Linked DNA regions of Tribolium castaneum. The protein of the gene in region 4 interacts with the protein of the main gene of each other region in a biochemical or structural test. Links are inferred from orthologs where the notes say so. Each region holds a gene or a part of one and is shown on either strand. Other genes may lie near its edges.

What was found.
Region 1: the proteins of Cul5 (region 4) and Roc1a form a complex in vitro, tested with the Homo sapiens proteins (4 studies listed by BioGRID and IntAct, with this or other methods). The link is inferred for Tribolium castaneum from reciprocal best matches to the Homo sapiens genes CUL5 and RBX1.
Region 2: of the proteins of Cul5 (region 4) and NEDD8-conjugating enzyme UBE2F, one has a biochemical effect on the other in vitro, tested with the Homo sapiens proteins (2 studies listed by BioGRID). The link is inferred for Tribolium castaneum from reciprocal best matches to the Homo sapiens genes CUL5 and UBE2F.
Region 3: the proteins of Cul5 (region 4) and protein big brother form a complex in vitro, tested with the Homo sapiens proteins (4 studies listed by BioGRID). The link is inferred for Tribolium castaneum from reciprocal best matches to the Homo sapiens genes CUL5 and CBFB.

Annotation. Positions count from the first base shown.
Region 1 is NC_087402.1:12,065,370-12,071,619, reverse strand, and holds Roc1a (RING-box protein 1A), read left to right. Parts: upstream 1-2,534; 5' UTR 2,535-2,630; coding exon 2,631-2,723; intron 2,724-2,775; coding exon 2,776-2,803; intron 2,804-2,852; coding exon 2,853-2,974; intron 2,975-3,025; coding exon 3,026-3,111; intron 3,112-5,164; coding exon 5,165-5,177; 3' UTR 5,178-5,337; downstream 5,338-6,250. Other genes in the region: e(y)3 (titin), read right to left, coding at 1,697-2,035, 2,084-2,231. UniProt on the Homo sapiens protein: E3 ubiquitin ligase component of multiple cullin-RING-based E3 ubiquitin-protein ligase (CRLs) complexes which mediate the ubiquitination and subsequent proteasomal degradation of target proteins, including proteins involved in cell cycle progression, signal transduction, transcription and transcription-coupled nucleotide excision repair.
Region 2 is NC_087403.1:3,755,614-3,760,206, reverse strand, and holds NEDD8-conjugating enzyme UBE2F, read right to left. Parts: upstream 1,955-4,593; 5' UTR 1,844-1,954; coding exon 1,586-1,843; intron 1,538-1,585; coding exon 1,376-1,537; intron 1,333-1,375; coding exon 1,216-1,332; 3' UTR 1,063-1,215; downstream 1-1,062. Other genes in the region: rb (AP-3 complex subunit beta-2), read left to right, coding at 1-285, 341-684, 729-867. UniProt on the Homo sapiens protein: Accepts the ubiquitin-like protein NEDD8 from the UBA3-NAE1 E1 complex and catalyzes its covalent attachment to other proteins. Together with the E3 ubiquitin ligase RNF7/RBX2, specifically neddylates cullin-5 (CUL5).
Region 3 is NC_087398.1:9,984,255-9,989,745, reverse strand, and holds part of protein big brother, read right to left. Parts: intron 1,456-5,491; coding exon 1,225-1,455; intron 1-1,224. UniProt on the Homo sapiens protein: Forms the heterodimeric complex core-binding factor (CBF) with RUNX family proteins (RUNX1, RUNX2, and RUNX3).
Region 4 is NC_087397.1:4,185,055-4,191,034, forward strand, and holds Cul5 (cullin-5), read right to left. Parts: upstream 3,380-5,980; 5' UTR 3,192-3,379; coding exon 3,162-3,191; intron 3,108-3,161; coding exon 2,570-3,107; intron 2,422-2,569; coding exon 1,572-2,421; intron 1,520-1,571; coding exon 1,220-1,519; intron 1,026-1,219; coding exon 689-1,025; intron 640-688; coding exon 352-639; 3' UTR 313-351; downstream 1-312. Other genes in the region: hd (protein downstream neighbor of son homolog), read right to left, coding at 1-34; ATPsynO (ATP synthase subunit O, mitochondrial), read left to right, coding at 3,652-3,678, 3,754-4,128, 4,238-4,465. UniProt on the Homo sapiens protein: Core component of multiple cullin-5-RING E3 ubiquitin-protein ligase complexes (ECS complexes, also named CRL5 complexes), which mediate the ubiquitination and subsequent proteasomal degradation of target proteins.

The DNA.
Region 1 (6,250 bases), on a different chromosome or scaffold from region 4:
TATAAAAAGCTTCATTAAATTTTGAGACGTTAAAAGTTAACAATGCGAATGAACTAACCAAGTTGTTTCAATTAGGTTACTTGATCAATTAATCACGCATTTAACTGCGGATTAAGTTAAACCGGCCCTAAGATTAATCATTTGTATGCGGTAACAGAAGAAAGGCGAAGTGTTACACAGCAAACATATTATTAACCATGTCTTGTAATTTTCGCATTATTTCTAACAAAATTTTGAAATAATAGAGTTACTGACTGAAAAGCCAGCAAAAAAAATAAAAAAAATTTTTTCGATGTGTTTTTAGAAAAATCAATCTCAAACCAAAAACTGAAAACTTAGTTTATAATTTATAAACCATATCTCCAACCACGTTTTTCGTTTGCTTGGCTATACTGTTCAGAAAAAGGTTGGTTTTTCACCTTATTTTTAAAATAATTGTATTGAAAACTGAAAAACGTGTTTTTTTATAAGACCTATAGGTTATATTGATATCATAAGTTGTCTCCTAGTAGCAAAATTATGATCTAATAATAGACCAGCTGTGTTATTAAATAATAACCAATATAAAATAATAATTAATAGTAAGCACAAAAATTTTATAATATTTTTTTGTTCTTAATATTGCTTTGTGACCTCATTTTTGTTTATTTTTATTTACATTTTATTCTTGTTACTTAATTTTACATGAGAATTAATTTTGTTACATTTCGAAATATTTTGTGTTTATTTTCTTTGATGATATACCTAATAATCGTATAAAGTATAAAAGCATAAAAGATAATTACAAACATACAGAGCATTTGTGAAATACTACAATGGAATATAACGCTACAGTAAAAAAATTACTCAAATATGAGAAAATTATATCAGGAAATTATTTAATCATAGACTATAAATATCAAATCACCTAATTTTCAGCCATTCCAGTTTAACGGACGGAACACTGCAAAAAAATTTTGATTTTATTTTCAGTTTTTATGAACAGTATCAGTTGAAATGATTTTTTTTTCTAGGACAACAGTACCAGTCAAGGTGTTTCCAACCTATAATTGGAGCCACATTGTAAAATTGGAAATGCGAACAGAAAAAAAAATACAAATTGATATCTATCATAGATTTTTAAATTTTTGCAGAACCGTTTCTTAAAAATTTCAATTATTAATTATTCAATTATCAATAACCTTAATTATCAAAGACTTTAACAATATCAAAATTAAGACACTGTTAACATCGCATTTAACCGAATATTTTTTTTAAATAAGATTGATAAAAATAGTTATTAATGACAAGATCTTCCAATAAAACTAGAAAATATATAAGCTATTAATTCTTTGAAAAGCATAAATAATTTATAACAATTACTTCTAGAGAAAATCCGACGTTGGCATTTTTATAATTTCGAAACAGCTAATAATTACGCTAACATTTGATACTGTTCAAAATTTTTAAGACATGACTGTGAAGCACCCCAATGCCCATAGCTGACTTATTAACTATTAACTCAATTAATTAATAAAATATTTGATTTCGGCTGTATTTTTTGGAAACGAAATTTAGTACATTTTGAAACCAAAACATACATGTTCCATTGAAGCCCAGACTAGTGGCTCCCCTAACGCCCGTTTTTTGACACTGGCTGACTTATTAACTAATCATTTAAAATTAATATAAATTAAATAAATATTTGATTTCTTACCTTGCAACATTTGAAGTTCAGCTGAAAACTCATCAAGCTCCATCGCAATGTCTTTATTAGCCCCTCTCAGATCCTTTCGAATCGTAAAATCAAACGAAGTCGTCGGCTCCCCTAACAAATTCTCCAAATCCTGAACAATGTCATCAACATTTTCTGTAATTTTCTCCGTAGAAGTATCCGTAATATTCATATCGAGCAGGTCCTTATCGGACGCAATCGGCGATGGGTTACCACCCCCTGACATCTCCCTCACTAAATTAATAACTGGGTTCGCACTACTCGGGTGTTTCCCCGAATCCAAAGCATCCGAGGATGTGCTACTGATTGGATCGTCAGCAGCTGAACACAATTGAAGTAAGCGCAAGGAAAACTGGAAAAAACACTTACCAATGTGTGACGTTGAAGTGGTTGTAAATGCATCGGTGGAAGACGTTGGGGTTGAATCACAAGACTCACTTTTTTCGTCGGTATTCGATGACAGCAGGTTGCCCATTGTTGAGGTTAACTCGCTTTCGGTGGATTTTTCACTTTCCATTGTCACTTGCACGGGAAAATGGTGCTATTTGGTTGAAAACACACCGTTTATCACAGACAATTAATTACGGGTATAATTAAATGCGGCATTTTTGTTTACGGTTTTAAACGACAAACGCCATCACAAGTGGAAGCTTCGCCAGGAGTGCCAACGGCAACCGTCAGACGAAAATGGCCATTAATAAAATAATTATCAATTAATACAACACTTGTTTACAATTTTAATGCGTTAGCCATCCATTAGTTAAGTTAATAACATTGATTTTCGCAAAATTGGTCATTCTGTGGTGGTTGAAGGGCACCCAACACACGCGTAAAATTCCCCAGTCGAAATTTCACCCCAAACAGTTTGGCAATTAACGTTTGTAAAAACTCACAATTTTGTGTTATTTGGGCAAAAATGGCAGCGGCAATGGACGTGGATGTTGACGAGGTCGAAGTTCCCACTTCGAGCAGTTCCAAGGGTGAAAAGAAGCGTTTCGAAGTGAAAAAGGTAAGTTTGTGAGACATAACCTAACACTTGATGATTTTTCATTTTTATGAAGTGGAACGCCGTAGCGTTGTGGGCTTGGGGTACGCTGTGTCATTTTATTAGACACGTTGGTTTTAATTAAAATTTTAGATATCGTGGTCGATAATTGTGCCATTTGTCGCAATCATATTATGGATTTATGTATTGAGTGTCAGGCAAATCAGGCCTCAGCGACCAGTGAAGAGTGTACAGTTGCTTGGGGAGTGTGTAATGTGAGTAATTTGCTGTTTTTTGAGTTTTGGTTTTAGTGAATCTGGTTTTAGCACGCGTTTCATTTTCACTGTATTTCGAGGTGGTTGAAGACAAGGCAGGTGTGCCCACTAGATAATCGAGAATGGGAATTTCAAAAGTAAGTTTTTTTATTTTAAATGTTTTTCTAACGGGTTAATAGTCCCTTTGTTTTTACAACTTTTACAATACAGAGGGTTTAAATTTTTTATTGTTATACCATCTAGTGGTCAATTAACGATCTACTTTGTTGTGTGACATGGCGGGAAATTTGAATGTCACATTTCACAGTTTTTGTTATAGTAATTTCATAATAATACTTAAACACAGGCTGTCCCAACGATCCCAAAAAGCTCCATAATTTGTTTATTATTAAAGATATTGAGTTTTCCTTTTTTTTAGATACGGGTATGCATATAGAGGATGTTCCAATATAAAAAAACACTAAAGCTATGTTTTTTCAAATGAAACACCCTAAATTTTATTGCATTTTTGCTTAGTTTTTAAAATATTTTGATTTTTTTGACAAAAACACAAAAAATTATTACACAAAAAGGCAGAATCGTAGAATCCCACACGGGGAAAAGTTCAAACTTATAAATCTGTTCCAATTGTTTAGCGTATTACAATTAGAAACAGAAAAATTAAAGTTTATTAAAACTTGAAAAACTTAAATGGAACACTCTATTTTTTGTTATTGCTTCTCAAAAATTACTAAATTACTAAAAACATAAAGTTTCAACTTCCTAAAGTTACTAACTAAAAAGATATTTCACTTTAAACGTTAATTTCAACAACATATCACAACCATAGCAACTCCACCACAGACCACTTGTTGGAGATTATACGGGACTAAAAATTCTATAAGTATTGAAATTTTAATTATTTCACTGTTATAAATGACAAATAATGGCCTAAAAGTAACATTAAAGTTATTATTAGCAGAAAATTTCACTTTTTGACTACTGAAACAATAGGTAATAATTTTTTTATTGTTTAATGTTAAAAATCTTTTGAGTAATCACTAATTAGCGAAAGACCCAACTGTTAATCTTGTCAGAGAGACTATTTAAAGGTCTTTTAGATGCAAAAATAAAAATTGGGTGTTCCATTTAAAATTTTTAAGTTATTCAACTTGCAACAAACCTCTTCATTTTTTATCTTCTTGATTGCAGTAAGCTAATAAAAATAATACATCCTTGGAGTTTGAACTTTCTTTCTTTAAAGTGGTGAAAGTTCCTCTTTTCTGAGATTCTAAGTTTTTATGTAACGATTTTTTTAAAAAAGCGTGTTTTGGCAAAAAAATCCAGTTATTGTAAAAACAAAGCAAAATCGACCTATAACAATTTGAAAAGCTTGAAAACATCTGTGTTAAAAGCTACATCCAAAAATGCAAAAAATATAGGTTGTTCCATTTAAAAAAACAAGTTTGTATTGTATCTAATTTTAGAAACAGCCTGTATACTTGAAAATAATTTTAAGTGGTAGGTACTTTAACTTAAAAAACAGTATAATCGTCAACGTTAGTATTTGTCCTAAGAACGTATTTAAACAACTTAAATAACTTAAATAAAAATCAAAGTAATTTTACTAAAAACTGAATTAATATGTATTTGTTTTCTAACAATTGTTCAATTGTTGTAATATTAATTAATTATTTCGTTTGAATAAATAAACTGTTTCAAAACTATAAAAACGCCAACGTCGCCTGTTACTGAATTATTTTTTTAAACAAAATACATAGAATTTTTAAAATAGTTACTAATGATTAGATCTCTCATTGAAAGTATAAATTACATTAGGTACTATTTTTTAAAGTGCATGAATAATTTATAACAACTAATTTTGAGAAAAAATGCGATTTTGGCGTTTTTATACTTTCAAAATAGCTAATACATATACTGCATTTGCCAAATAACAACGAATAATGAGAAACGCTTTTGTAAAAGTTTTTTAGTTACCGGTATATTGACTTGTTCTCTACAGAAATACATCATCCGATAAATTTCAGAAAAACTCAAACAGTAGTTTACGAAAAAAATCGAAGAAAACAATTTTTAAGAAACTGTAGAAAGTGAAAATAAACTGAAACATGTGATGGTGGTGTAAATTACTTTGATTTTTTTTATTTTATTTTTTATTCTAAGAAAGTACTGATGATGTATTTTTTGCAGGTATGGGCATTGATCGTTATGTTATCAGTAGCATAATACGGTTTTCGGTATTTGATTCTCACCATTTTTTTTCGTAAACTCAACATGTTATAACGGAAATTTAGTTTTTGTATAATCCAGGTCTTGAAATTTTTTGTTACATTTTGTATTTCAATAAATTATTATTCAATTCATACTGTCTTTTTTCAATACCTACTATCCCAAAATAATTACTAGTTGTAAAAATAAATTTTTTTGGTTTTTACTGAGTACGCATAAAACCTAATCTTCCGAATTCCAGTATCTTTGTTCATGGATTGTCATGCACATAACGTAAATATTTCTAATTTTATTAATAATTTATTAAAGAGCTGAAATTATTTGCAACTGCGTGTTTACTGTTCCCATTTTGGCCTTAAAAGTTTTAAGAAATGTTTCCTTCTCTTTTTTTTCTTCCTTGAGATGCATTAAATTTAAAGTTTCGGGAGTTGATACTTTTTGAGTCTTTTTATTTCGTTTTATGTTAAGAATATCATTTGGTCATTAATATCAATTTTTGCGTGTACTTATTTGTTGGTTTTTTCTTAATTTTTATTTTGTAGGGTTGAACTGAATAACTTTCAGCCACACTTCGCCCCACTGAATTATTTATTGTTTCTTTTTTCAAAGCCTTCTTAATATTATTATTATCGATACCTAATGATAATGAATAATGATTTTTCATTTTTTCAAATACTAGTCATTCCAATTTAATAAAAATGCTAACAACTTCGTTTGTTTAAATAATGTTGATAAAAATGTAAAATATTTTTTGATTATTAGATGTGTCATTGAAATCATAAATTACATTAGCTATTAAGGTTTAGAAGTGCATGAATAATTTAACTTTGAGAGAAAAGGCGGCACTGCTATTGTAATTGGAATGGATGTTATAAAAGGAGAGGAGCTATACAAAAATTTAGTTATTCCCATAACATTTATTTCAACACTCCTATAACGATTACTTTTCTAGTTCAAAAACTGAGGCATTTTTCAAAATATTGAAACTAAAAAGCTGTAGTGGAATTTTCTCCTATATTTTTGTATTATTAATTGTTCATTGATTTG
Region 2 (4,593 bases), on a different chromosome or scaffold from region 4:
TTAGGCGACGTTGATAGCACTGCACCCGTGATGACCCCATCACTGGGCGGGTTCCTAACACCGAGTGTCGTAAGCACGACACCTTCGCAGGTCGAAATGACGCCCCCCGTTTTCACCAACACTAAAACCATCGAACTTATTAACAAAATCAACGGGCGGGGGCTGTCGGCCACTTACAGGTTCACCCGGACGCCTCATATTTTATCGCCAAGTATGGCAAACATCAATATAATGTTCACCAACAACACCACCGAAGACATCAGTGATATTAGGCTGGGAAAAAAGGTTGGCTGGTCTTATTTTGTTTCTTTGAAACGGTTCCAGTGTCCGAATTTTGTAGAATTTAGGACTGGACATGTCGATGTATGAGTTCGCAAACATCGCCAGATTGCCGCCAAACGGCTGCCTGCCCGCGTCGCTCGGGATCGACTTCAACGACACGACCCAGCCGGCGAACTTCGAGATCGTGTGCTCGTTGGGCAACTTCAGCGTCTGCATAAAGCCGACCATAGGCGAGCTGGTGCGCCCCGTCCGGATGGACACCCCCACATTCCAGGAAAAGCAGTCGAAGTTGGGCGGCATGAACGAACATATCGGCAAAGTGAAGTGCGTCTCTAACATCGTCGAAAGAGTCACCGAATGCAGCAACTTGGGCGTGTGCGACCCAGCGAGCGACAGCCTGAGGTAACGCCCGCTTTTGTGTGGCGAGTGATTAGTCTCGTTTACAGGTTCGCGGGCCAAACGCTGAAATCGTCGAACTTCGTTCTGGTCACAATAACCAAGCAGGAGGTGGTCACTGTCAATTGCGAGAACATGGTCTTTGGGTCCGTTATGCTCAACGAACTGCTACATAATCTCAAGTCATAAGTTGCTTCAGCGTATTTGATGTATTGTACTTGTTTGTAACGGGAAATACTTGAACATAATGTGCACTTGCTAAACGCCGAGCTTCCTTTTGCGTGAATATTATGTTGGATGTATTTGCCACCTAGTTATCACTTTTCTTTTTTATCCTTTCAAATAAATATTTATGAGAAGTGTGTGTTTGGATTGAAACAGCGGTAATTCATATAAATATATTGTGGTAAACTTTACCCAAAGTGAAGAGTTGCTCACTTGTGGACAAACTTTACGATAACTTTTTACAAAAAAAGGAAATGGAGTATTCACACTCGTGAAAGCGGACAAACAGTAATATCGACGACTCTACAACGATTAATCTTTAGCATACAGCATAACGTACTCATTCACTTTCATTCTAAATTCCTCCTTAGAGTTTCTATACATATCCGAAGCTTCTATATTTAAAGGATCGTCAAAATTTAACAAATCCTGAAACAAAACGTCAACCGTGTCCAAACGATCCGATAAATACCGTAAATAAGGCGTGTAGGCCCCAGACGACGTCGTTTAATCTCCTAATGGGCGACCAGCCCAGCCCGTCCATGCTGTGCTGCCTCAGGAGCGATAGGCACACTTCGCCGACTTCGGTTATGTTAGGGTGCCACAAACGCGTGAGGCATCTGACAGTGGGAGGCTGCAAACGAGACTCAACCGCCGATCGCAACTCGGTGGCAATACTTACAACCATGTTATACTCTTCGGTAACGTTAATAGCAAATCTAAAAGTACCACCCTCCCAAAGGCCCTCCGTGGGTCTCACGGTTAAAATGAACTTGCTCAAATCGTTCTCATTCTCGTAGAAAACTGAACAATTACTGGGCAAAAGTTGGGCCATTTCTTGTGATTCTTTAATTAGTAGTTTGTCCCTGATTGAAATTCGGTTCGTGTTAGAAGAACGGTCTTCTTGCTGTTTTTTCAAGCGTTGGGATAGCGTAATCATGATTCTACAAATTATTATTGAAACACAATGAAAATCATCGCATTGTTTATGTTTAATTTTGATATAAATTTTTGGTTAGGTAACTGACAGCGCCGCTGTCAACGAGAGTGACCCGGACCGAAAGATCTTCGAACCGAATTTTTTTTCAAATTGTTTAAACGAAATAAGGCGAAAATACTATCAACTGTTACTTTAACATAATTTTGGTTAATAGAAAAAACTCAAATTTGGGGTGGTCTAATTGTGTTTTATAACACGTATATGTACCATGGTTATTTAAAAAGTTTCCACCCAAATACTACAAGACTTGACCTTGTAAATCAAATTTTTATTTCCAATGTTTTGGATTTTTTTACTAAGGAAGGAGAGACCCACATGAATGATTTATTAAATGAGTAAAAATAGTTTATTGCGTAAATAAAAGATACATTTGTGTTTACTTTTTGGGGCGTACTTGAGCGGCTTCGTTACCAAACATCTTCCACAGGCTTCTTCTACGGCAGGGTGGTCTTATGATATTATCTCTTAAACAAATTTGGTAGACCTCCGGGTCTGTTTTGGCAAGGTTGAGGACCTCAGCAGAGCTTAACTCCCTGAATAGAAAATTTATGTTAAAAAATATAAGTACTTATTTGAATTTTTTACGTACTCCCAAATCACCGAAAGACGCCCACGATTGTCTTCCCTACCTCGAACCTTCTTGGCATCTTTTTTAGACTGTTTTGATGAGACACAACCCATTTTCTTCGCGAGTATACGACTTATAAGCATGTAACTGCCGCAACGCTGATACCCCTTTTATTCATTCTGATAGTATGTAGACTGATAAAATATTTTCATGAAGATTCCTAACAGGTAAATCGGTTATAATCAGCAATACGTAACAGGTGCGCCACCCAAGTGAAATATTTGGATAAATGGCCCTAATTAAGTTATCAAATTATTAACGTAAAAATACAAAAATGCGAATAATGACGCTTAAAATTTTATCATAATATTGTAACATGACTTATTTTTAAAAGCTTGCCATACGAAAATCACAAAATTTTTTTGAAGAATCTAAAATTACAGGCAAATGTCACATTACAATAAAGGTTTTTTTATTGTTTTGTATATACATTTAAATTGTAGATAATTTGCAAAGAAATGTTCACAAAATTTGATTTGTGACACGTAATACTGATAGCCCAATTGACAGTATGTTATTTTAAATTTTTTCTCTTTGTTGATTTGGACGTTAGATGTTTTTCCAAAAATGTAACTTTATATTAGAAAGGCGGTTTTGTTTTGCCGAGCGTCCACCAGAATAGCGCTGCGTGACCACTACTCTTTCCACGAAGACCCAGGATCAACCCAAAACACGAAAAAGCCTTTTGTAATTTCAGTATTTATCAAAAATGATTCCTGTTTTTTATTAAATAAGGTATACATATTTTTTTGCTGCTTTCTTTGAATAATTTTTTTTGGAACTAGCGTCAATTTTTTACGTAATTTTCTAACAAACAACAACATACAAGCATCATTTTCTTCTAAGTGCTATTCATTAGGAATAATAAAAAAGCTTAAATAGTTTTCAAGATAAGAAAGTCAAAATTACAGCATTTCGGCCCTGCTAGGAGGTCCTAGGACCTGATATCAGGCAAATGTTGCAGAATATTAAGTTAAATAAAAATTAATGACCGAATTAATCTTCGCCCACATCTGCCGCTGAAATTGGCTTCGAAGAAGGCAAAAATAATTTTATTGGAAAAGGGACGTCAACAACAATTAGACAAAGTGTTAAAACAGCAAAATTTATTTAATTAGGCAAATATCAGCCGATATTTGAACAATAAAACATCAGTTTTTGGAAGCACTTTAATCGCCTTCTGATTGGTCTGTCTTACTGTCGGGAGTGCATCAGCCCAGCGCTATCCAATGACAAACACCTTGCAATTTTTTGTGCGGTAGATAAGCAAGAAGGAGGTACTTGCTGTATTTTTATTGGTCGAATGACGGATTCGTGAAACGAAGATAATTTCGGTTTAGTAATTTATCGAAAAGTCACAATTATCCACATTATCCATTAAATATTCTAATAAAATTATCATTAATTAAGTAATACCTAGGGAAAAACCAAATATTTTTAATTCGTAGTCCTTGATCTTTGTTTTGCCGAGCGGCCACCAGAGTAGCGCTGCGTTACCACAAACGCTTTTACATATTACTAGATTTTTTATCAAATTTTTAGAAATTTGGACGCCACACATAAAGATAAACAGTAACAATAATAATGTTGAAAAGGATCAGAGTAACTGCTCTAAGTCTGCCGAAATGGAAATGAAAGCGTCAAATTGCCTCAAAATTTATATAGAAGATAAGGAAGAAGAAAATTAAAAAAACGCCCAACAAGGCCTTTTTAATTCATATAAATTGTAAAATATGAATTGTGGTAATGTAGACTTCCGCTACTTTCGCAGCGCTACTCTGTCGGCCGCTCGGCAAAATAATGAATTCTGGCGGCAATTTTTATTCAAAAAAACGACTTTTTCTTAATTTTTATTAATAAAATTAATAATTTTAGAAATCCTTGTTTTGCTGTCCGACAAAAAATTAAGAAAAGATTATTTTCTATATTTGAAAAAAATCCACTTAAAGATTGGAACAATTTTCTAAATTTTTGATATCATATCAGGATTATCGATGCAAAGAGACCCCAGCGTAATCAGCGTGAAAAATTATAAGACAACACCTTTAAAATAAATAATTCA
Region 3 (5,491 bases), on a different chromosome or scaffold from region 4:
TGAGCTGTTTTAAGCGTTTCTGGAGGTTTCTTTAAAAGTCTATGTGTTGTCATGTGTTTTTTTACATATAAAGGGATTCCGTATTTAGACTTAAACATTTATTACAGACCTCGAAATAAACGTTTTCACTTTCTTTCTGCTAAGCTTTATTTTATCAGATAAAGTGCCCTACTTTCGGACCTAATCCGGGCAATAATCGTCCTTTAAAAGCACCCAGATTGCTGCCCATTAAAGTGCAACACCCACTCAGCACGACAAGTAGACATTTTATTAAGTCGCCGGAGCGTAAAATTCACTTGCTCAAACATTTCTTAATGTCCTATTAGTACAAAACTGGTTGAGCTTGCTCATTTCCGTTAAAAAGTGAATAAATTCCCACGATAAAATCACCATCCATGACAATACGAAAAACGATACTCAACAACTTGCTCTTGCAGCAATTAACACGTTGGGTAACTCGGGTTTTTTCATCAAAAAGCAAGCAAATGACAAAAACTATTGACAAATCGATTCATTCTACACGTGTTGCGCCTTTCCAAAGCGAGGTTTTTGTAAGTGTTGCCTCAAAGCATAGAAACTTTCACCACTATTGTATTTTTTCCGATTTGTTGCTGTTTATTAATTACAGACGAGGCTTTTTCCGGAGTAAAATAAACTTGTCCGTGCCCCTTAAACAGGTGCAGATAAAATCGGATTAAGGCCCATCAAACGGTAATGCATCCCTGGGGTGCATCGAGAAATCTGCGTGGGAGCCACCATGGTGAATAAACAGATTTCGGGCGGAATAAGTATCGCCTGAAAGCAAAAACGGGTACTGAAACATTGCTCCGGTTTTAATCTAATCCTCTAATTCTCCGGTTCGACGCTCGCACTCTAAAGATTTCACTTGCATTATTCTAGAAAACGAAACACCGACATTTGTCCAACAAAATCCAAAAAACCGCTGGCGTGTGATGTGAAATGAGTTACTTACCTTCTTTCCGATTCACGGTCAAATAAAAACGAGCAAACAAAAATGAAACAAAATGGATGAAAAATCCGTTTATTTACATATTGCATTCATAAGAATCGGGTAACTAAAATTACGTCAACATTCAACGATAAATATTTACAAAAATAAAGGTAAAAAAGACAGATTAAACGAAAAATTAATCATGCCAAGTATCACTAAACCTAATACAGCTTCATGTAGTTCCTCTGGTGGAGGGCGCCCCCGACACGTACCTCTAGGTCTTGCTCAGGCCGGTCCTGCTGCCTGTACCCCCTCTGCTTGTCCTCGAACTCCCGCAGCCTCTGGTTGTACCTCTCGATCTGCTCCCGCAGGAGGGCGTCCTCCTGAGCGGCCCGCTCCTCGCAGTACTCCAGGCAGCCGACGCCGTCGAGGCGCTCCAGGTCCAGCCAACCCCGCCATCTCACGCAGACGCCGTTCATGATGAACGAGGACTTGATGTGCACCTGAAAGCAAGCGAAAGCTCCGTTAATTTATTATAAAATTGCAAAAATTGAATCGGCCCGTTGCTAATGGAATGAATCGATTCCCGCCCTCTCGGCGGGGGCAAAGGGTGCGCTTTGTCCGAAAGGCGTGCGAAAATTATGTCGTTATGAGTTTTTTCGGCGACATCTGTAACTTTATTTTTTTCTTTGAGAGCGAGGAAGGGTGCGCTCGAATAACCCCGCGGGAGGCATTTGTACCTTTGACTGTTTGTTATTATTCGAGTTGTCAGAATTAATAATGACGTTTTGAGAGGGGTGATAGGGATTTTTTCGAGATTAGGTGGATTTTCACCGAGGGCAATTTACGCAGATGGCGTGGACAGACCATTGGTCAGAAGTGGCCGTGATTTATTTCGGAAACGCCCAGTGTTTCAGGGGCGGCCAGGAACCGGCCCCGAAGGGGTGGACGCACCCAACGGATTCTATTGTCGAAAAGGTGCTGGTCTGGCGACCTTTTGCATAACGGTGGCATGAGAGAGACCAATAAAGTCAACGATTTACGAAGCGAGAACAAAAAATAATAATAAGAAAAGTAAAATCTAAAATGAATCAATAAACAAACCCAATTTCTTAAAAATTATCTTATTTTGTGTTAGAAACTTATAGATTGTTCGAATTTTCCTGCAAAAAAATTCATTTATGCTCAAAAATAAAACTGTTTCGCAAAATTTAGTTTTGTTCTGAGCGAGAAAAAAAATTACAAAAAACCTGGAATTAATTAATTTGAATTCTTTTTTTTGCCTTTTTAAAATAGGTAAGCAAAATAGACTCATTGGTTGACTAATTACTTTTTGGCGAATTATCCGTAGGATGTTTACGAATTTTGCAGAAAGCAAAAGTTAAAGGACTTTCGCCTGTAACCTACGATCGCCGCTTAAGGCTTTAATAAATTTTTGTTTTTTTTTTAAATAATGTGTTAATTATTGGTTGGTTTTTAGAGGAAGTATGTTTTTGAAAATTATTTGTTTTTCTTTATTTTTCAGAAAACAAAGCTTATCAAAAAGGTCTTCATTTAGAAAAAAACAGTAAACTGTTTCGTCACTAACTCGCTTTAAAGACAATTGTCTTAGCGAATCATCTTAATAATTTTTCTGAGGAAACACAGCATTTGCTTATCAAAAGGACTATCGATTGTAAACTATGCAAACATTTCTTGGAACTTTTTTTTTTTCTTTGCCACAAAATATTTTGTCCTTGGCTCATTTTTAGACGATTTATTTTCTTATCGAATCGTTCGTACAATTTTTATGATTTAGCAGAAAACAAAGCTTAGCAAAAGAATCATCGACTGTGAAACCGATAATGACTTCTTAGGGCTTTAATAATTTCTTTGTTTTTTCAAAATATTTTGTCATTGACCCATTCTGTGTCGAATTATTTTTTGGTGAATCATTTTCCTGGTGAACAATTTTCCTAATTTTTGCAGATATCAAAGCTTATCCAACGGGCCTTCGATTGCAAAAAAATAGTAAACCAGCAATAATTTGTTACGGTTTTAATATAATTTTTTATTTTTTTTTTAATATTTTGTTTCTATCTAGTTCCAATTATTTTTTAGGGAATTATCCGAAGAATTCTGTTTTTTTGCAGAAAATAACAAAAGGTCATCGAATGTGAAATATACAATTATTTCTTGCGACTTTAATATTTATTTGGTTTTCTCAAAATATTGTGTCGTTAGTACGCATTAGTTAGTTTTCAGAAGAATTATTTTGTTCTGTTGAATCATTCGTGAGACTTTTCAGACTTTTGTAGAAAGCAAAGATTATCTAAACGGCCTTCGATCTCAAAAAAATAGTGAACCGGCAATTGTTATTTAAAGTTTTAATAATTTTCGCTATTTTTTTTAGTTTTCACCAAATACTACTTTATTTTTTTCTTATTTTTCTTAGCGAATTTTCCATATAAGTCTCATGATTTTTGTAGAAAACAAAGCTTATCAAAGAGATCGTCGACTGTGAAATCGACAATGACATCTTAGGGTTTTAGTAATTTCTTTGTTTTCTGAAAATAAATATTTTGTCATTGGCCTATTCTTTGTCGAATAATTTTTTTGGTGAACCATCTGTACAATTTTTGCAGATAGCAAAGCTTATCTAACGGGCCTTCGATTGTAAAAAATAGTGAACCAGCAATTGCTATTTAGAGTTTTAATAATTTTCGATTTTTTTAGTCTTCACAAAATACTACTTTATTTTTGTCTTGACTTTATTTTTCTTAGCAAATTATCCATAGAATTCTCATGATTTTTGCAGAAAACAAAGCTTATCAAAAAAACCTTCGATTGTGAAACCGACAATCACTTCTTACGGCTTAATACATTTTTTTGATTTTTTCTAAATATTTTGCCATTAGCTCATTTTTGTCGAATTATTTTTTGGCGAACCATCCGTACCTACAATTTTTCTGAATTTTGCAGAAAACAAAGGACCTTCAACTGCAAAAAAAACAGTAAACCGGCAATAATCTAGTAAGAACGTAATAATTTTTTAACTTTTTCAAAATTTCTGTACAATTTTTTTCTGATTTTGGCAGAAAGCTTAACTAATTAGTCAAAGTTACGTTATTTTTGTCTTTTTCGGAGCATTTTAACACCAAAACCTCAAGTCTGATTATTTCAAACAGGCCAAAGGACGAAATGTTTGGCCTTTTTCGCAAATTTAGCTTGTTTTTGAACTTATTTTTGCAAAGTATCGTCATAAATACCCAAATTAGATCTCAACTAACGATCTATTGGCCTATTTAGATTGATAGTTTTCTGATAAAAAAATTGATAAAACGAAAAATTTTTTTATACTTGGGATATTTTTAAAAATAAAAACTTTTAGCTGCAATTCCAAAAACTAAGACTTGAGTAATTTCTGGAACTGAAACACATTATCATTGAGTTAGAATTACAAAATAAATAAATCTTCAAGCAAGGAAGTCAAGGCAATTTTTCGTCGTAAACTGTTAAAATTTATGAAATGCTGCGAGTTGAAGTGACATGATTGTTCTTAGTCATAAAAGCGTCCATAAACTTATGAAATCATTTATGCGTCGAGTGTAATAATTGATGACTTCACGTCGTGGCAGTTTAACTTTTCGTTTTGTCTCTCAAAATTTCAATTTTCGCGAGTTCAGCAACCCGCCTTGTTTTTCTCGGATTCTCCGTCTGGTCAGAATTTTCTTTATTATGATAATGTGTCGTGTGCGGCATGTCTGATCACGCTTTGTTTTATCGTCGTGTATAAGCAAATAAATGATTCACAGTCTATTAGTATTCAGGCAATTAATTGTTAGGAGTGCAATAGAGGTGACCTAGAGAGATCTTCAAGGTTCCAAGCGGGGAAATCCCGAGGAAAGTCAACATTTTTTTTAGCTAACAAGATCAGAAACCCATTAGGACCATCTGTCGCATCGAGTGACTTGACGCTTTCAACCCTTTCTCGCCCTTGTTCTATGGCTTCGAAAAAACGGGATTTCTAGTTCACAACGCACAAAAAACTAATTATGATATCACAATCGGCGCGGAAAACGATAAATAAAAATATTGTTGTATGGATGGTGTGTATAGAATGGAGTTTGAATGCCCTTACCAATCTGGACGCATTGATCAAATTCTATAACACCAGCAGTCGATCTGTAATTACGAAACGCTGCTAGATAATTAAGTAATGGTCTTTTCCATTGTGGCCCGTGGTCATTCGCCCCGTTTTACATGCAATATTATTGATGGGATTTTTTCCGACACGGTCTATGCAATTACAATGGGATTTTTGGTCTTTATTTGCATTTTCTAATTTATTTTTCTGTCACGAGAATTTCAACAACTAGGCATAGGTTTTTTGAGAAGCTTTAGCCCACCTGATTGAAAAATAAATTGATTCAATTTTGATCCAATTAAAAGTAATACCTATTATTATACCTGAATCTAATCAACTAATCACATACATAAAGAAATTTAAAAAAATGTTTTTTTAGAAAAAAAACTTGTATTTAAAAGATGCACTAAAAA
Region 4 (5,980 bases):
ATTTTGGGGCCGGCTTTTTGGGGCTTTGAGGCATTGTCTCGAAGCCACAAATGGGAAGAATTAATTCAGACAACACAATTTATCAACGAAACATTGAAGCGTCACAACATAACCATATTTTATGGCCGCACTCAGCTGTCAATTTGACGTTGACGGTTGGCGCTATTTTAAATTTTGCGGGTTTGTTAATTTTTTTCTCAAATATGATTGTTCTAAACCCAAAATCGTCGTTAAAATTGTACGTTTCAGTCTCAAAAATGACCAAAATCGTCCTCAGATGGGTGTAACGTGGGTTGATTAATAAGACTCATCTTCAGATATATAACAAATGTTTTATTGTTTATAACAATTTCATGCCATATAAATAAAAGTATTAATATCATCGTCGTCCCTCCTCATGTACTTGTGTTCAATTAGCCACTCCAGCTGCTCTTTGATCAATTTTTTCGACGGAAGAAACATGTTTTTCAAAATGTCCACCAACTCAGTTTGTAACGAAGCATTTGATATTCGTTTCCGCATCTTCAAGATTTTTATTATGGCTTCTTGTGTCCTGAGAATTCGTAATTGTACAATGGATTGGTTATCTTCCATTTGGGACCTTTCAGTACTCAGCTGTAACCGCCCTATTAAATTCACCTGAAAAAGCGTTTTAAAAACAAGAAAATAAAATAATTGTCTCGATTACTTTTCCCCTTTTTTGCGGTTTGCCATTTTTAATGAGCGCAAAATCTTGATTCACCCAAAAAACTGTATGTTCAGTAAAGTCTTTAGGAGCGCTAACATTTGGCGAAAACAGCAGCAACTGTCTTTTCAATTTGGGGAATGCCACTAGGGACCATAACGTCCGCCTTAATTCGCCATCTGGCAATTCAGTCGCTAGACGTAAATTTTCGTATGTTATTCTATCGTGTGGTCGTTGATTCCATGCGAAAAGCACAGCCATTTGAAAGGTGGTCACGTCTAAATCGAATTTTCCGCCGTTGGTGGCAAATGTTATTGTTCCGTTGCTCATGTGATGGTACCTAGGGTCAATTTTTGAGTAAAAACGACATTATTCCGCTTTTTTTAAACAAGTCAAAAAAAAACATCAATAGCCCAAAATTTGTGTTATTTGACCCTTTTTTGAGAGTTTTAAGGCCAAAAACATTATTATTTAAAAGCAAGGAATAAATTAGAAATAACTTCAAAAGGGGGCCTTTGATGGGTTCATTCATACCATTGTAGCTTCCTTCCAGAGTGTTTCTTCTTGTAAAACTCCTCTACTTCCGGGATATAATCCTCCAGTTCCACTGGCAAGCTCACAGTGACGCGTTCTGAGCCCCGAGCCCAAGCACCAGCATTAAGAATTTTAATATTAATAGCATCGTGTCTTGCAGTTGAAGTTCTAAACTGGCCGTTTAGGTCTTCACTAACTTTAATATCTTGAAACATTCTAGCTAATTTATTTACGTAGTCGGCTGGCATTCCGACCTCTCGCAACCACTCAACCATATCTTCCTCCTTCTCACTATCAGCGCTAAAAATCGAATGAAACAATACAAAATTGTGTTTTTTCGCGGCAAAAATACCTCGCATCTAGGATAAGTCTTCTCGTTAAATGGGCCTTGTGGTAACGCATAAAAACATCTTTATTCGATACATATTTAAGAACTAGCAAAACGTCTTTAAGCCGCGATTCGATTTCCTCACTGGTCAATCGCTTGGACAGTGGCGTCCGTCTCAGCAACATATCGCAATAATTGGCTAACAACTCCGGACACTTACTTTCCGGCGCTACAACCTTCCCACCGGCATTTCTCCCCGTGTTCAACTCGAGCCTAAACACCGTCGTGTCATTAACCACGGCTTTGAACGCCTTGTCCCTCGCTGTTAAAAATCGGGGATCGTCCGAAAACGCATCATGCACCAATTTACTAAACCTCCGGAACAACTCCAACAATCTCTCAACGTACTTTTCCGAATCTTGCGTAATGATATCGGCAGCTGCCACCATATCGGCCAAACCGGCCTGGGTTATGTGGTTCTCCAGTTCGGTCAACATCGGCTGGACCCCTTCCGGGACCCGCTCTAACAACCTAAACATTAACTGGAGTCGGTCGGTTTCGCCGGCTTTGATCAGGGGCGCACATTCGGCCAAAAGCACCGACAGGTTATTGCTGACTAAAACTTTGACGCAACACTGGATCACGCCGTTGCTTCCAGCTTCGAGGTAACGTTGAGCTCGGGCTTCTTCCTCCCGCAGTTTGCTGTCCGCGTAGCGCATGTAAGCCTGGACGCCGTTTGTTTCCAAGTGTTCGGGGGCTTTAAGTCGGTAGAACATTTCGGTGCTTTGGATGTACGCCGCCTCGAAGTTTTCGCGGTAGATTTTCAAGCGGTCGTAGGTGCTCGAACAGAGGTTCACGTACGACTCACGAACTCCTGCAAAATATTCATTCCAAACAACAACGCAAAAAAAATCTAAATTTTATTCGAAATTTACTAATTGGTCTTTACTTTTTAAATGATGATATATGGAACGAGTTGTTATGTAAATTTAATACGGTGTTGGGATTTAAAATAAACCTACCTATTACTAACTGAGAGTCAAAGGCTTCCCCGTTCCTTTCCGCATGCACGAGCTTCATGGCGCTATCCTGCAGCCTGTGCTTAATATCTTTAAAAATACTTTCATTCCACGAATCGAGCATTAATTTCCTGACTATGCTCTCGTCTGTGGCCCCCTTTTTGGCGCTCCCGCTTTGCCCGCTGTTGGTCCCTGACCAAGTTTTTCCCTGTAACGACGTTTCCAGCTGCCTAAAAGGGGTGGGTAGGTAGTTACACTGCGTGAAGAATTTCCTCCATTCTGCAATGTAAGCTTTCAGCAGTGCTTCGTCTTGTCTTTGAGCCAGAACTCTAGCTTGAGCTTGTTTAATAAACTGCACTATATCTTCTTGTAAGTGATCGCGTAATTTAACTGGCCCTTTCTCGTCCCAAAGACAAACTAAGTGGACGTCGTAAAACAGTTCCTGCCATTCGGCTGGTGATACTGGTTCTTGTTTTAAGAGCTTCAGGACAATGGGGCGCATCAAGGGCCATTTGTCTTCGAATTTTAGTTGCCCCTTTTCCTGCAAAACACACTTCAGGGTTTTGTGCACGTAATGGAAGGTTACTGCAATCACCTTAAGCATTTTAGAGGTTACGATTGGCATTGAAACTTCTCAGCGTTGCTACTGATATGTTTTACATTTGTTTAACGTGTGAATTGTTTTAAATTGGTTAAAACTAATCTTAATGATTTATTTTAAGTAGTTTCAGCTTAACCTTAGCATATTTGTGCTTAGTCGCTGGGCTTGCTGACAATAAGAGGGGAGCGGTACCGCCAATTACTTAAATTGCGAGAGTCGAGGGGAAATTTTAAAACATCGGGGTAGTCACGCTATTAATTATCGATTCCAAACGAAATCTATAACCACTTCATTTTATTTTTAATTAATTTTACGGAAAAATTGAAAAAATGTCACTGTCAAACTGACATTTCCAAAACGTTTCACCAACATCGACAAGTCACACCATCAAAGACCCTAGTTTTTGACAGTCGAAGGGTTGAACTTGACAGTGCAGTGGGGCCCTAAGTTCGATTTCACTTCCAGCAACCAAAAAAACGCAATAATGGCCACAAATAAGCTCTCGATGCTTGTAAGTACAACTTGGTTCAACTTGTGATTACGTTGTCGGCACTCTATCACCCAAAATGTGATTACATAACCGCAGGTCCGCTCCTTCAGCACTAGCAATGTCGCAAGTCAGATGGTTAAGCCTCCGGTGCAGGTCTTTGGCATTGACGGACGTTACGCCACCGCCCTGTACTCGGCTGCCAGCAAGCAAAAAACCCTCGATTCTGTTGAAAAAGACCTCCTAAAGTTCCAGTCAGCTATCAAGTCTGACCCCAAATTGAGGGAATTTATCAAGAACCCCACAATTAAGCGCGGGCTGAAATCCGAGGCTTTGAAACAAATTGCCTCGAAAATATCGCTTAACGCGCAGACGTCCAATCTTTTGCAGACTCTTGCCGATAATGGGCGTCTGAAGAATTTGGATGGGGTTATCAACGCCTTTAAGGTCATGATGGCAGCCCATCGTGGAGAGGTAATGTTTTACGGTGTTTGTATGGTTCAATACTAATTTTTGCCCAATCAGTCATATTAAGAAAATTTGTTGTTCAGTCATTAAGTACATGCTAGAACTTTGCCTTTAGGTGACTTGTGAGGTCATCACAGCCAGAGACTTAGATGCTGCGCAAAAGTCTAAGTTGGAATCGGTCTTAAAATCGTTCGTGAAGTCAAGCGAGACCATTCAGTTGAGTACCAAAGTTGATCCCTCTATCATAGGAGGAATGATCGTCAGCATTGGTGATAAATACGTTGATATGAGCGTCGCTAGCAAAATCAAGAAGTACACAGAAGTCATTTCCACTCCTGTTTAAATTAATCATTACGGTTATAGAAGTTGCATAGTTCGCCAATAAAACGTCATAATTTCATTATTGTTTATATTATTTAAAATGGAACCTATAACACCAAACTCTAAATAAATATAAGCTACAGTAACCTGTGTGAAATGTATTAGAAAATAAAACTCCTGTAGAGGGATAGACTGGTGTCTAGTTGTTGGTGGGTTCAATAGTCTCCCCTCCGCGGATTTGCCCCCACCCTATGAGACGCCAATGCTTCTCCACACGTCTGCTGAGCGCAATCTTCTCGCCAATTTCGGTACAAACCGGGTTAGTTAAAGCAATCTTAACCAAATCAGCCTTCGTGGCAACGACACGTCCCCCAGTGCTTAAAGACCCTATATTGACTAGCAAGACTTCGCTCTTGGACAATTTCTGGACCTTTGCCCCCTTCTTGTCCCCTTCCGTGCGCACACCTAGCAGACGTTTCAGCAAGTAGTAGCTGACCTGCAATCCCGCTGATTACAAACAGTAGACCCACCATTAATAAATCACCTCCAACTCAATAAAAATACTCGGTAAGGCCCCAACTGCTCCCAAGACTTGTCCAACGAGACGGTCAGCCCGACACAAAGTCGGCTCGATCTTCGTCCCAACACCGATCAAACCTCCCGGAACGGCGAACTGTAGCTCGTTTTGCTCCGTGTAGAGGGAGACAATTCGGGAGAAAATTGGGCGGCAGGTCAGCTTGCCTTCAGAGTCTTTGCTCACCAAGCCGGGTCTTACTTCGATTTCTTGCCCGACTTTCAAGACCCCTCGTAAAATACTGCCTCCAGCGACGCCCCCTTTGAGATCGTTCACCTCACACCCCGGTTTATTCACATCAAACGATCGAATAACGATAAGACGGGGCTGTGAGGTGAAGTCTCTCACCGGAACGGGGATTTTCTTCGTAATGTATTCGCAAAGCACCTGGAAGGAAGCGTCAACTCTTGTGGTTGTTAGTTAAAATAGTTACTTCAATATTGTACTTCAGTTGGGCCGAGATCGGGATAATCGGCGCCCCCTCGGCCACAGTCCCTTGCACGAACTTGACGATTTGTTCGTGTTGCTCCTTGGCTTGTCCTTCCTTCACCAGGTCGATTTTATTTTGCAGGATGATAATATGCTTCAGTTTCATGATTTCTATGGCGGCTAAATGTTCGCTTGTTTGTGGCTGAGGGCACGACTCGTTGCCTAATAATTGAGAAAGTTTACTTTTGGACAAATTAGTGAAATTTTCTACCAGCAATGAGGAGAAGTGCAGCGTCCATAACTGCAGCTCCGTTAAGCATAGTGGCCATAAGAATGTCGTGACCGGGACAGTCGACGAAACTCACATGACGGATTAGCTGGAAGCGACCAGTGCAGGCAGGGCGTAAGCAAGGGAAACTATCGTCCTTGGAGGACGCCCCAGAGATGTAGCAAGTCGGTCGGGGGCACTTCGGGTTGTCGCATTTGTAAATTTTGGCGTTAGCGTAGCCTGGAATGTGAAAATATTTTGCTACA